3 linked regions of the Callithrix jacchus genome follow. The protein of the gene in region 2 interacts with the protein of the main gene of each other region in a biochemical or structural test. Links are inferred from orthologs where the notes say so. Each region holds a gene or a part of one and is shown on either strand. Other genes may lie near its edges.

Region 1 (4,224 bases), on a different chromosome or scaffold from region 2:
TTCCCTGTTAAAAACAACTCCTGCTCGTCTTCACTCCCGACAGAAAAACAAATGACTTTTTCAGAATAATTTTTCAGCAACAAAGATAATTAATGTAGCACCATATAACACAAATCAAAGCTTTCAGACGAAGATTGAGACACAATGACCAATACTAACAAATCTAAAGAGCTCTTATATATGAACACACACACACAGCCCAAATCAAATATTCACTGTTCCCTGGGGGGAAACTGCTGCTTCTTCCCTAACCGTGAACCGCTGTATATTTTCCAATTTTGTGATTTTTCCTTTCTCTGCTATCACATTAACCTCCAAGAGAATTGTTTCTTTTAAGTTACATGGACTCCCAACCTAAACACATCACAACTCTCTCAGCCTTTTCTTACATTTTCTCTCAAAAATTAGCTCTTCACATTTTTTTTAATAGCTGGGCTGAGTTGACAGAAAAGAGCTGTGGAATTCCTGCTGTCGGATATCGTCCCTGTATCCTCTTTTCTGATCCCTAGTCCCTGTACTAATTTCCCTACCTGCTGTCTCTCATTGACGACTTCTCAGCTGCTGAATCCTTCACTAACCTAAGTTGAGGATATCAAATGGAATATTTTCCTTCTCAGGGGCTATGCTCTTTCCTTAGTTACTCACAGAGGGGAAAGAAGGACAGGAAAGGTACTAAAACAAAGAATTGCCAAGTCCCTTTACTTCCAACTTTGGTGTAAAAATATAAGGAAAAGACATCTGCCAGGGCTCTTCTTTCCTGCCCTTAGACCTCGTTCCTCTCACACCTCCTTCCCAGCCCTTTATTTCCCTTGAGGAATTAGTAGATCGTTCACTGTGAGCCCTGAGGCTTGGAGGATTCCCCTGGGTCAGCCTCCCCACACTTCCGCGCCCCTACCATCCTCTTTAATTAACTTCTGCCTAAATCCCAGGGCTTCCTCACAATCGTAATTGGGTTAAGGGCTCAACTCCCAGCCTTTCCCAAAGTTGGGGCACGGCCTGGCCCCGAAACGGGTGCGTACAGTCTTCCTTGAACTGGAGGTATAGACTTCTCCCGAAGGGTTTGCTGGGGCTCCAACCTCAGTCAGTGCGCTCAGCTCCAGTAAGAGAATTTCTCCTTACTCTCAGGGAGACTGAGTCCCCACGAGGCCGCCACACTCCCCCGGAGGACAGCGCTCCAGACCTCCCCTAGGACTCCCAACATCACTGGGGTGCTCCCTCCCGCGGCGCCCTCCGCAGTCTTCACTCCCCTCAACAATCCTAAGTTACTCAGTCCTCACCAAGGCAGAGGGCTAAAATTTTCCCTCAAGAGAAACCCCCGCCCCCAAGCTCTTTCGGCGGCGGAGACATTCAGAAAGAGTGAGGGAGGCTGTGGGTCAGTTCCTCTGCGGCGACTGCCCAACCGCGAGGCAGGCCCCGTCCCTCCCCCTCAGATGCCCCGCGCCGGGTCCGCCCCGCCACCCGCCGCAGCGAGCGGGCTCAGCCCCGGGGGTCTCTGCTTTGAGGCCGCCCTCCCCACGCCGGGCCCCCCGCCACTCGCCTTTCCCGTGCCGGCCGCGGACTCTGAACTCCGGTTCCCACCCGCAGCCCGGAGTCTCCGGGCCCGCTGGTCGCGGAGCCGGCTCGCGCCACTACCTGCAGGGGCCGCCGCGCCTCTCAGCGCCACGCCGCCGCCATCTTGCATTTCAAACCGGCTGCACTTTTCAGGGAGTCAACTCTGACCTGTGAACCCTAAACCCGGAACCGCTCGGCGGGCCCGAAAAGGGGCCTCAGCAGGTCCGTGGCCCGCGGAGCGTGGGGACCCAGGGTGGGGGTGCGAGGAGAGGCGCGCGCCCCAACGGCCGTCCGGGGGCGGAGGGGGAGAGAAGAGAGCCGGCCGAGGCAGGGCCCTCCACCGTGCGCGTCCTCCACGCGCCCCCACCCCGTACGGCGCCGGCCTCCCCAATCCCAGACCCTGCTGTTCCACTGGGGTCTGACCCCGACCCCTACCCCGGGGATTGGCGCACCGCGGGAGGTAGGAACCGCCCCGCCCCCCTGTCAACGAAGCCCCGCCCTGGGCTGAGGAGGCTCCGCCCCCTGTCAGGAGAAGCTCCGCCTTCCCAGGGCTCTAAATGGCCCCGCCCCTTGCCGGCTACCGCTCCGCCCGCTGTCGACAGAAGCCTGGTCTTCTCTCTGGTCTACACAGAAGGCAGCTTGCCTTCTTTGCGCTCCGCCTTCCTAATGTTACTGCTGGATTGTGAGAGGTAAGCATGCTGCCTTCCACTGAAACGCCCCTTATCATCACACGCCCATCCCCCGGGGCTACACGACCCAGGCCCCGCCCCTTTGGGCGGAAGCCCCGCCCTTAGGAGGCAGCTGCGAGTCCAGCCCCGAGCCGCGCGCCTTGTCAGAAGTCGCCGCGCCCCGTGTCAGCGGCAGCTCCACCTCTTTTCGCTACGTACCTCTCTCCTCTGCGGGCAGCAGCTCCACCCGCAGACACCAAAAGTTCAGTTCAACTGCACTCGCAACCGCCGGCTCAGGCGGAGCCACTCTCTGCCCCTCAGACGCCCTCCTCTCCGCTAACAGCTACTCTCTCTTCCGGAGGCTTCTTTCCGAGTCGAGGGCTTCACATACCGACGGCTTCCAGGGAACCAGCCCCGCAGCCGGGCCAGCGAGGTCCCGGGCTTTCGGAAACACCGCTTGGCGTCGCCGCCCCTCGCCACCTCCTTTTCCTTTCAGCCCACACTGCCGTCACAACGCAGAGGGACATAACCAAAGCCGAGAGCAGCGACCCACCCTCCAGCGGCTCCACACGCCGGTCCCTAGACTCTCGAGAGCTCCTGGGCGCCTTGACTTTCACTCCCCGCCCCCATCCCAGTCGGGGACCCTTTGTGCTTTGACAGCAGAGCTCCGCTGAGCCACATTAATCCTAAAAGATGGAGTTGCTTCAAGTGGAAGTCTGATTTTTTTTTTTTTTTTTGAAACGGAGTCTCACGATGTCGCCCAGGCTGGAGTGCAATGGAGGCGCGATCTCAGCTCACTGCAACCTCCGCCTCCTGGGTTCAAGCCATTCTCCTGCCTCAGCCTCCCAAGTAGCTGGGATTATAGGCGCCCGCCACCACGCGGGGCTATTTTTTTGTATTTTTAATAGAGAGAGTGTTTCACCATGTTGGCCAGGCTGGTCTCGAACTCCTGACCTCAAGTGATCTACCGGCCTCAGCCTCCCAAAGTGCTGGGATTACAGGCGTGAGCCACCACGCCCGGCCATAGGATCCAGTTGTTGAAATCAGGGTTCTATAATGTTCTTTTTATTTGTATATTTCATCTTAGAATCCTAAAACGTATGTACAATGAAGCTTAATGATCTTATAAGTAAAGGTGTTCAACCCTGCCACATTCAATGCCCTGTATTGACAAGAAAAATTATAACACTGCTTTACTCTTGTGGAGTTAAATTCCTAATGCAAATACCTCTATAAATAATTTCAAGAAACTAATGTGATGTTCTAATAAAGGTGAAAAAAGAGAAAGTCGTTTATAATAAAATACTGTATGTACTAATATCAAGAAAAAATTTAAAATAACAGTTTTCACAATGCAAATACTCTGACAATAGAATTGCAAAACAAAAACTGCCCCCGCAAAATTTCAATATGCCCCCAAGGGGCAGTACTGCCCTCACTGGGAACCTCTTCAGGAAATGCTTCAGATAGATTCATTCTTTTGTCTACACATTTAGTGACTAGTTTGTGTGTGTGCCGGTATATACCAGGCACTGTGGGTATGTACAGCTGACTTAGGCAACATTCCTGTCTTCCAGGAACATGTGGTCTACTAGCCAAGCAAAAAACAGGAGCATAAAAATGTCTCAAAGTGGGCCAGGCGTGGTGGCTCACGCCTGCAATCCTAGCACTTTGGGAGGTCGAGGTGGGCGAATTGCCTGAGCTCAGGAGTTCGAGACCAGCCTGGGCAACACAGTGAAACCCCATCTCTACCAAAATGAAAAAAAAAAAATCAGCCAGGCATAGCCACCTGCACCTGTAATCCCAGCTCCTTGGGAAGGCTGAGGCAGGAAAATTGCTTAAACCCAGAGGCAGAGGTTGCAGTGAGCTGAGATTGAATTACTGGACTCCAGCCCAGGTGACAGAGTGAGACTCCATCTCAAAAAAATAAAAATAAAAAAAGTCCCAAAGTGAAAGGTGAGAAGAGACCCCTTTAGGGACATGGAGCTGTTGACTGTAACTCCAC
Region 2 (3,550 bases):
TATTTGTTGTTGCTTCTGATAAAGCTAAAATAACCATGTGGATATAACAGAGGCCAGTGTGAGGAATTCCACCATAGAGACTACAAACTGACCAGAAAATATTTTTAGGAAATCTTTAGTAGTGGGCTCTTTCAACAACAAACCTATCTAGAATTAACAGAGTAAAATGAGCAGGGTAAAGGTATACGTTAGACATTTCGTTTTAGCTTGAGAGACTATAGGGAGAAAAGGGTCATCCTCTACATTAGCTTCCTTACAGAGCTGCTTGCTGTCCAGCCTCTTAGAGTCATTGCTGGGTAGAGTTTGATTTACTTCCTTCACATTATTTAAAATTTGTACTCAACCACCATCACCACCATCACCTCTCCCTCTCATTCCCTCCTCTCCCAGCCTTCACTAGAGACCATTTCTGGATTGGTTTAAACAGGCAACTAACCTTGCCATTATGATTAAATGTTTGTCAGTGACAAATGTTTATATCTATTGAGACTTCTCAAAGTTCAGTGACAAATGCCTTATATCTATTGAGACTTCTCAGAGACTCTGGATATACTCTATTATGTCTGACCTTAAAGTATTGAAATTGGCATGTAGTAACAGATATCATAGATACTTAAAAATAACTTAAGGACTTAAGACATACTTTCTTAGTGTCTTTTCTATCTTTTCCTTCTCTAGCAAGGCAGAAGAATAGTTCCAGTGATTTTCTTTTGGTAAAAACCAATTTGTATCTTATGTTATTTCATTGTTCTTATTTTATTTCATTCTAGGTCCAAGGGCAGCCATTAATGGTGCAGGTCAGTGGAGGCCAGCTAATCACATCAACTGGCCAACCCATCATGGTCCAGGCTGTCCCTGGTGGACAAGGTCAAACCATCATGCAAGTACCTGTTTCTGGAACACAGGGTTTGCAACAGGTGAGTAGTATTAAAAAATGTTGAGTACTATATCAGATGAGACGTTTCAAAGAATAGATTGTTACAAACTGATCATTGATGTTGCATTTAACTGCTTCCTGACCCACATTTTGCATTTAGTTGATTTTCTGCTTTTGTAGTTAGTACCAGTGATACAAACTAGAACTATGCAGAAATTGGACAGCTCCAGTAAAGATTAAGATATTAGGCATGAGCTTGAATTGCTATAAAGTATGTAAAGAGGTTAGAATCTAGTTTATAGTATATTTTATTTTAAAAGAAGCAAAAATGAATATTCTTAGAAAGTTAGAAAAATAACAAAATAAGCAAAAATGTGTCAATTAAGTAGAAAACTGACATATAGAAAGGGTAAGTAAAATCTAGATTGTTTAAACAGACCAATAAAACAGGTAAATCCAGTTGAAAGACGGATTGAGAAACACAAAACAAAAGTAAGCAAAGATGTAGAAGAGATTAAAGGAAGGTCAGGCGGGGTGGCTCATGCCTGTAATCCCAGCGATTGGGGAGGCCAAGGCAGGTGGATCACTTGAGACCAGGAGTTCAAGACCAGCCTGGCCAACAGGACAAAATCCCATCTCTACTAAAAATACAAAAAACTGGTGTGGTGGCACGTACCTGTAATCCCAGCTACTCGGGAGGTAGAAGCATGAGATTTCTTGAACCTGGGAGGTGGAGGTTGCAGTAAACCAAGATTGTGCCACTGCACTCCAGCCTGGGCACCAGAGGAAGATTCTGTCTCAAAAAAAAAAAAGAAGAGATTAAAGGAAATATGTGGAAGTGTTACATACAACACTGTGGCATCAAATTTTAAAAATTAGATATATCTCATCAGGATGGCAAGAACCAAAAAGAGTCACTATATCCACTGCTAGGATGGATGTAGAGAAAAAGAATTAATCATTATTTTTGGTAATTTCAAACGGTGAAGTTATTTGGGAAAGGCATCTCACTATCTGTTAAATACAATGAACACTTGAGCTAGCAGTTACACTTCTGAGAATCCTATAGGAAGAAAAGCATCAGTACTAGGGAGACATTACAAAGACACTTGTCATAGCATTGTACTAGCAAAAAATAAAATTGTAATCTGAGTGTCCATTAATAGAATAAGGAAATGGTTGGAATAAATCTTAATATATTCCCATATGGACTACTGCATCATCATTAAAGGAAATGAACTATGGGCTGGGCGCAGTAGCTCATGCCTGTAATCCTAGCACTTTGGGAGGCTGAGGCAGGTGGATCACCTGAGGTCAGGAGTTCGAGACCAGCCTGACCAACATGGAGAAACTGCATCTCTACTAAAAAATAATTAGCTGGGTATGGTGGAGCATGCCTGTAATCCCAGCTACTCGGGAGGCTGAGGCAGGAGAATCACTTGAACTCGGGAGGCAGAGGTTGTGGTGAGATTGTGCCATTGCATTCCAGCCTGGGCAATAAGAACAAAACTCCATCTCAAAAAAAAAAAAAAAATGAAATGAACTATTGAAGTGGGTGGGTTAATATTGAAATATTTTTAGTGAAAATAATTTGCAGAGAAATAGTGTGTGATCTCATCTTTGTAATTCATAACCAAACCCCCATGAGTATATGTTTATAGACATGGAAAAGGGAGTATGAGGGAGAACTATTAGCTTTTTACTCTACGTAAATCTTTATCTTGTTTCAACAGTTATCGCAACCACATTAACGTCTTAATTTTCTGGAGGAATTTCAGTTGAAAAAAGCAACCATGATCACACTGCTTATAAATCAAACTTGTGCTTTTTACGTATTCTCTTGTGTTTTTATCATAATTTTTTGGCATAATTGTACCATGCATGCGAGGTTGTTTCATTGTTGTTATTGTTGGTTTTTTTTTAATTCTTTCATAATGTTCAGTCAATTTGATGAATCAGAATTTCTAATTTATAAAATATAGTTAAGGATTTTGGTTTTCATTTGCTTTTGTTGGTAAACATACTTGGGCATGATAGTTTTATTTTTCAATTGAATTCTCAGGGTAATTTCTTTGGATTGGGGATTGCTTGGCAAAGGGTAAGAGCATATTTGAGCCCATTGGCATATTTTTGCCAAGATAGAATTATAGTTGGGATTAAAAATAGTTTTTCCATTTCTCCATGCATGAATATATGAGGCTTTAAATATCTTCTTAGCATGTGCTTTCCTCAATTTCCCATTGCTACATCCTTTCTGTTCCTCTGTCTTTGCTTCTGTTCTTCTCTCCAGCCCTGCTTGCTGTGCCGCCTTCTCCACTGTTCAGTAGAGACAATGTGGTATAGTTAGAAATAGTATACTGTGAGTGTAGTGATCCAGCTTTCATCACCAGGTCTGCCATTAAACAAGCATTCTAATCTTGGCCAAGTTATTTAATTATCTGTTTGCTCATCCAAAAATAAAATTTATATGAGATGACATCTAGGGTTCATTCTAGCTCTAAATTCTGTGATTTTTATAGGGTTTTATTTTGCTATAAGGAACCTTGAAAGAGTTGTTTATTTCCCTGCTTCCAAGTAGGGCTATAACTAACTGGGCAGAAAAATATATATTCTGTTACATAAATAAAGCTCTAGGTGAGATTCCATAGCCTACCTTATAATGCTTTATGTATA
Region 3 (4,163 bases), on a different chromosome or scaffold from region 2:
TGGATGTTCAGAGCATCAGACCCCTGCAGCCCACTGACCCTCTGGGGTGTCTGGCCTTGAGAGTTGGTCCCTGATGATCCACTGGGAGCAAAGTTCATAATTCCCATGTTGCTGGTGGTAGTAGTAGTTGAGTAGCTATTGGCATTGGTGAAAAAGGAGCTGGAACTGGGTTGTGATGACACCAAGCTGGCAGAACTGATGGTAGTCCCTGAGGTGACAGGCTGTGAGCCACTCTCCTGGGACCCAGAGCTGCTGATCGTGACTGCCTGAGAGCTCGGAGTCAAGGTAGCTGCAGAAACGCTGTTGACAGGTAGCAAGGTGATGTTCCCATTCAGGGCCACTGGTACATTGGTCACATACTGAGTCTGTCCTGAGAGTACATTATTAGCTAGGCCTTGGAGGGGGACAGCCTGCTGGAGTAGGTTTGGCATAGCAGCAATAATGTTGCCTCCACTTCCTCGATTTGTGATAATCTGTTGGTTTGCACCTGGTATGATCTGTATTTGACCAGAACCATCCTGCTGCACTTGGGTCCCAGTGGCAGCAAATTGCAGCTGCTGCCCATCAACAGTCTGGAACTGTGGGATTACTTGATACTGAATGTTAGGCATCACTCCAGGTAGTCCTGTCAGAACTTGCTGGTTCTGTAAGTTGGGAGTGGCAGCCACAACATACTGCCCACCAGAGACTGTGCGATTCTTGGAAGATTCATTGCCACTGCTGCCATTGGTACTGTTGCCACTCTGTTCCTTTGAGGTAGGGGTAGCCCCAGAGGAGGAAGAGATGATCTGCCAGCCATTGGCACCCTGTGAAAGTTGTGTGGCTGTGAGGTCAAGCTCACCTGTTCCCCCTGACTGACTTGGGCCCTGGGAGTTGTTGCTGTTCTCATTGGGTGACTCAATTCTGCTGCAAGTTGCTGCCAGCAGAGCCAAAGGGGATGGCTGGGACTCCTGGCCGAAAATAAGGGAGAGGAAAGGAGTTAGTGACACCCAGCTGCCAGCCTAGGGGGCAGTATACAACAAATAAAAAGCAACGTAGTGCAGACAAGGAGCAAAAAGCAGAAACAAAAAGCTGACCTATCTGTATTGCTGAAACTCCTGTCTTTGGGGATCTCCAATCTCTGTGCTTACTTCCTTACCTATAAACTGGTTTAGTCCCTCCCTAAAAAGCTTTCTGTGAAGAGTAAGGCAACTATCTAATAATATTTACATCCTCTGAACACCTTCCCCACTCTGTGATGATCACTTACCTGCCCTCCTCCTCCAGTGCTGCTGCTACTGCCTGTGCTGCTGCTGCGAGCCTGTGAAAAGGCACCACCATTACCATTGCCCCCATTATTGCCACCAACTCCTTTCTCAATCTTCACCACAGCTGTCATTTCATCCATGGAGTGATCTTGGTCTGAAAGTATTAAAAAACAAGCAACTTAAACTGGAGGGAAGAAAAGAAGTAGGAAGGATAAAAGGAGGCTATGATGAAACAGCAATGACTAACAGGAAGGCAAAAGGCGCCAGTATAAAGAAAATGGATTAGAGGACAGAGGGGAGCTGCAGGGCATGCAAGACATGAAATAGGCTCAATGGTGCCAAAAGTGGGCCTCACTTCTCCCTTGCACAAAATTAAACTAAGAAAACATTCAAAAAGTGCTTTGGGAATAGGAAATGTGAAGGATGGTAGGCATGTTGAAAGAGTTTCAAAATGAGAAAAAGTATCCTGGGGGAAACAAAAGAAAAGAACAGGTAAGGCAAAAAACAACATGTGGGTGGATGGAAAGCTTGCTAAAATTAAGGTTAAAAGAGATGGAAAGGCCGGGCGCAATGGCTCACGCCTGTAGTCCCAGCACTTTGGGAGGCCAAGGCAGGCAGATCACCTGAGGTCGAGAGTTCAAGACCAGCCTGACCAACATGGAGAAACCCTGTCTCTACTAAAAACACAAATTAGCCGGGCGTGGTGGCGTATCCCTGGAATCTCAGCTACTCGGGAGGCTGAGGCAGGAGAATCACTTGAACCTGGGAGGCAGAGGTTGCAGTGAGCCCAGATCTCACCATTGCACTCCAGCCTAGGAAACAAAAGCAAAACTCCAACTCAAAAAAAAAAAAAAGAAAAAGAAATGGAGAAAGAAAAATCCAAGTGTGAAAAGTAACAAGAGGAGAGTGAAAAGGGAGGGAAAAAAAAGTAAAAAGTGTGAGTAGGAAAGCATTTGTGAATACTGATAAGGGACTAAAGGGGTCTACGGATTAGTAATCAGGAGGTTTCGGGGCGGAGGGCGGGCCCTCAGGGAAAGGGCGGTTTCGGGGTGAGGGGCGTGGAAAGGGCGGGACGGTGGGGGGGAGGCGAAGGGAAATCTACGGAAAGTGGGGGGAGGAGGGCCTTGGAGCAGGGGCGGACCAGGCCGGCGGTTGGCCCGGGCGGGGCCTTCACTGCTCGGGCCGCCCCCGCGGCTCCAGCCCACGGCGGGAGGAGCCTTAGGCTGTCGGCCGAATAGTGGGGGGTAAGGCCCGTCCCCCGTGGCCGGGGCGGGCAGGGGGCGGGCGAGGCCACGCTGCCCCCTCCCCCGGGGCGGGCGGCCCATCCCCCTCCTCCTCGGAGGCCCCGTCACTGCCCCGTCTCCCTCCCTTCCCTCCGCCCCGGGCGGGACCTAGGCCTCCGCCGCCGCCTCCCGCCCGCCCCCCCCTCCCGGCGGGGATCGCCCGGTCGGCCCTCGCGCGCGCCCCCTCATTCCCCTCCCACCCCTAAGCTTGGAGTGGACTCATCCTTACCGCTCATGGTGGCAGCTGAGGGACAAGCTCAAGGGGGTCCTGTCGGGGGGGGTTGGGGGGGGCCGGGAAAAACGCGGACGCTGACGAGGCAAGCGAACCCGGACCGGACAGGGAGGGGGGGGGTAAGGAGGAGGGAGCAGCGCGCCACAAGCCCAACCTAGGCTCCGCCCCTTCGCTGCTGCCCCGCCCAATGAGGGAGGGGGAAAGGAGGGACTTGCAGAAGAAAGACGGTGAGATAATCCAATGGCAAGAAAAGCTTGCTCTCTAAGGCGTGTATGACTAAGTTGCGTGCCTGGTGTCCGCCCAAAAAGACTGTCCTCTCAGTATTAAAAGCCAATGAAAGATGCAGGAAGTGAAGATGGGCGGGAACTGAAAGTGATTGGCTTCAAAAAAAACCAGTCAACCGGCAGGCGGGCTCCCTGAGACGTAGGGATAGGGAAAACTTTGATAGGAATGACAGAACAACGGCCAACCAGAGTCCGGGATGTGCTTGGGCAAAATCCTAGTGGGAGGAGAGGTAAGAAGTAGGCAGGAATATAATAGGATGAAGCTGATTAAAACCAATCAGAAATCAGGCGGGCAGCCAGGGAAGTTATGATTGGATTAAGACTGAAAAGAGACAGGAAAGGACGCATATTGACGTGAACTAAAAGCCAATTAAACGCCGAATTAACTCTGAGGGCGGAAACTTGGAGCGGGCAGAGGAGAATTGGCTGCTCCCTCAGTTATTCAATCCAATGAGGAGACGAAGTAAGCCTGGCACCGCCTCCTAGTTGGCCAATGGGAGTTACTGGAGCCGCCCATCATGAGGGAGGGAAGAGGGCTGTGCCAAGAGGAGACCGTCGCCATATTGGCCCTCTTCGGGGGACGTCGTTGCATGTATTTAGTTGGACGCTTTAGCGGAGCCCTGCGGCTCAACAGGCGTTGGAGCCAAGGCAATCGGCGCGCAGTTCTGCCTCAACACCAGGACTTGTTTGAGTCTTCATTTAACTGTCCCTATGAATAACGTACCTCTCAAATCTTAAACCCTCCCGGGGCGGGCAGACAGGCAGTCAGATGCATCATCTCGCCGCAAGCCTTGCTAGTGCAGGCGGGAGATCTGGGAACAGCGCTCACCAAATAAGTTAATACTGAGCTGACCAATATGCAGAGTCTCCGTAAGAGTCGAGAAAACGCCATTTTATTAAGTTCCCCCAGACAAAGGCTCTAACCACTTACGGCTGGTTAACTTTTCAAGAGCTTTGAGGCTAAGGTGCAAATAAGTCACTTCCATTTTTCTCCCTTAATAGTAAATACCGCCTGTGCATAAAGCAAGATAGCTGAGCTCCTGCTTTTTGCAATCACGAAGGTTAAGAAACTTTACTGCAGGCACCTGGATTTCCGGCCTCCACTTGTATCCTTGTT

The links.
Region 1: the proteins of NFYA (region 2) and ZHX1 form a complex in vitro, tested with the Homo sapiens proteins (2 studies listed by BioGRID). The link is inferred for Callithrix jacchus from reciprocal best matches to the Homo sapiens genes NFYA and ZHX1.
Region 3: the proteins of NFYA (region 2) and SP1 form a complex in vitro, tested with the Homo sapiens proteins (2 studies listed by BioGRID). The link is inferred for Callithrix jacchus from reciprocal best matches to the Homo sapiens genes NFYA and SP1.

Annotation. Positions count from the first base shown.
Region 1 is NC_133517.1:74,097,235-74,101,458, reverse strand, and holds the start of ZHX1 (zinc fingers and homeoboxes protein 1), read right to left. Parts: upstream 2,801-4,224; 5' UTR 2,439-2,800; intron 2,274-2,438; exon of another isoform or gene 2,195-2,273; intron 1,694-2,194; exon of another isoform or gene 1,538-1,693; intron 1,404-1,537; exon of another isoform or gene 1,278-1,403; intron 579-1,277; exon of another isoform or gene 531-578; intron 1-530. UniProt on the Homo sapiens protein: Acts as a transcriptional repressor. Increases DNMT3B-mediated repressive transcriptional activity when DNMT3B is tethered to DNA. May link molecule between DNMT3B and other co-repressor proteins.
Region 2 is NC_133505.1:49,571,564-49,575,113, forward strand, and holds part of NFYA (nuclear transcription factor Y subunit alpha), read left to right. Parts: intron 1-770; coding exon 771-917; intron 918-3,550. UniProt on the Homo sapiens protein: Component of the sequence-specific heterotrimeric transcription factor (NF-Y) which specifically recognizes a 5'-CCAAT-3' box motif found in the promoters of its target genes.
Region 3 is NC_133510.1:66,168,782-66,172,944, forward strand, and holds the start of SP1 (transcription factor Sp1), read right to left. Parts: upstream 2,801-4,163; 5' UTR 2,767-2,800; coding exon of another isoform or gene 2,760-2,766; 5' UTR 2,573-2,759; coding exon 2,389-2,572; intron 2,317-2,388; exon of another isoform or gene 1,871-2,316; intron 1,402-1,870; coding exon 1,250-1,401; intron 951-1,249; coding exon 1-950. UniProt on the Homo sapiens protein: Transcription factor that can activate or repress transcription in response to physiological and pathological stimuli.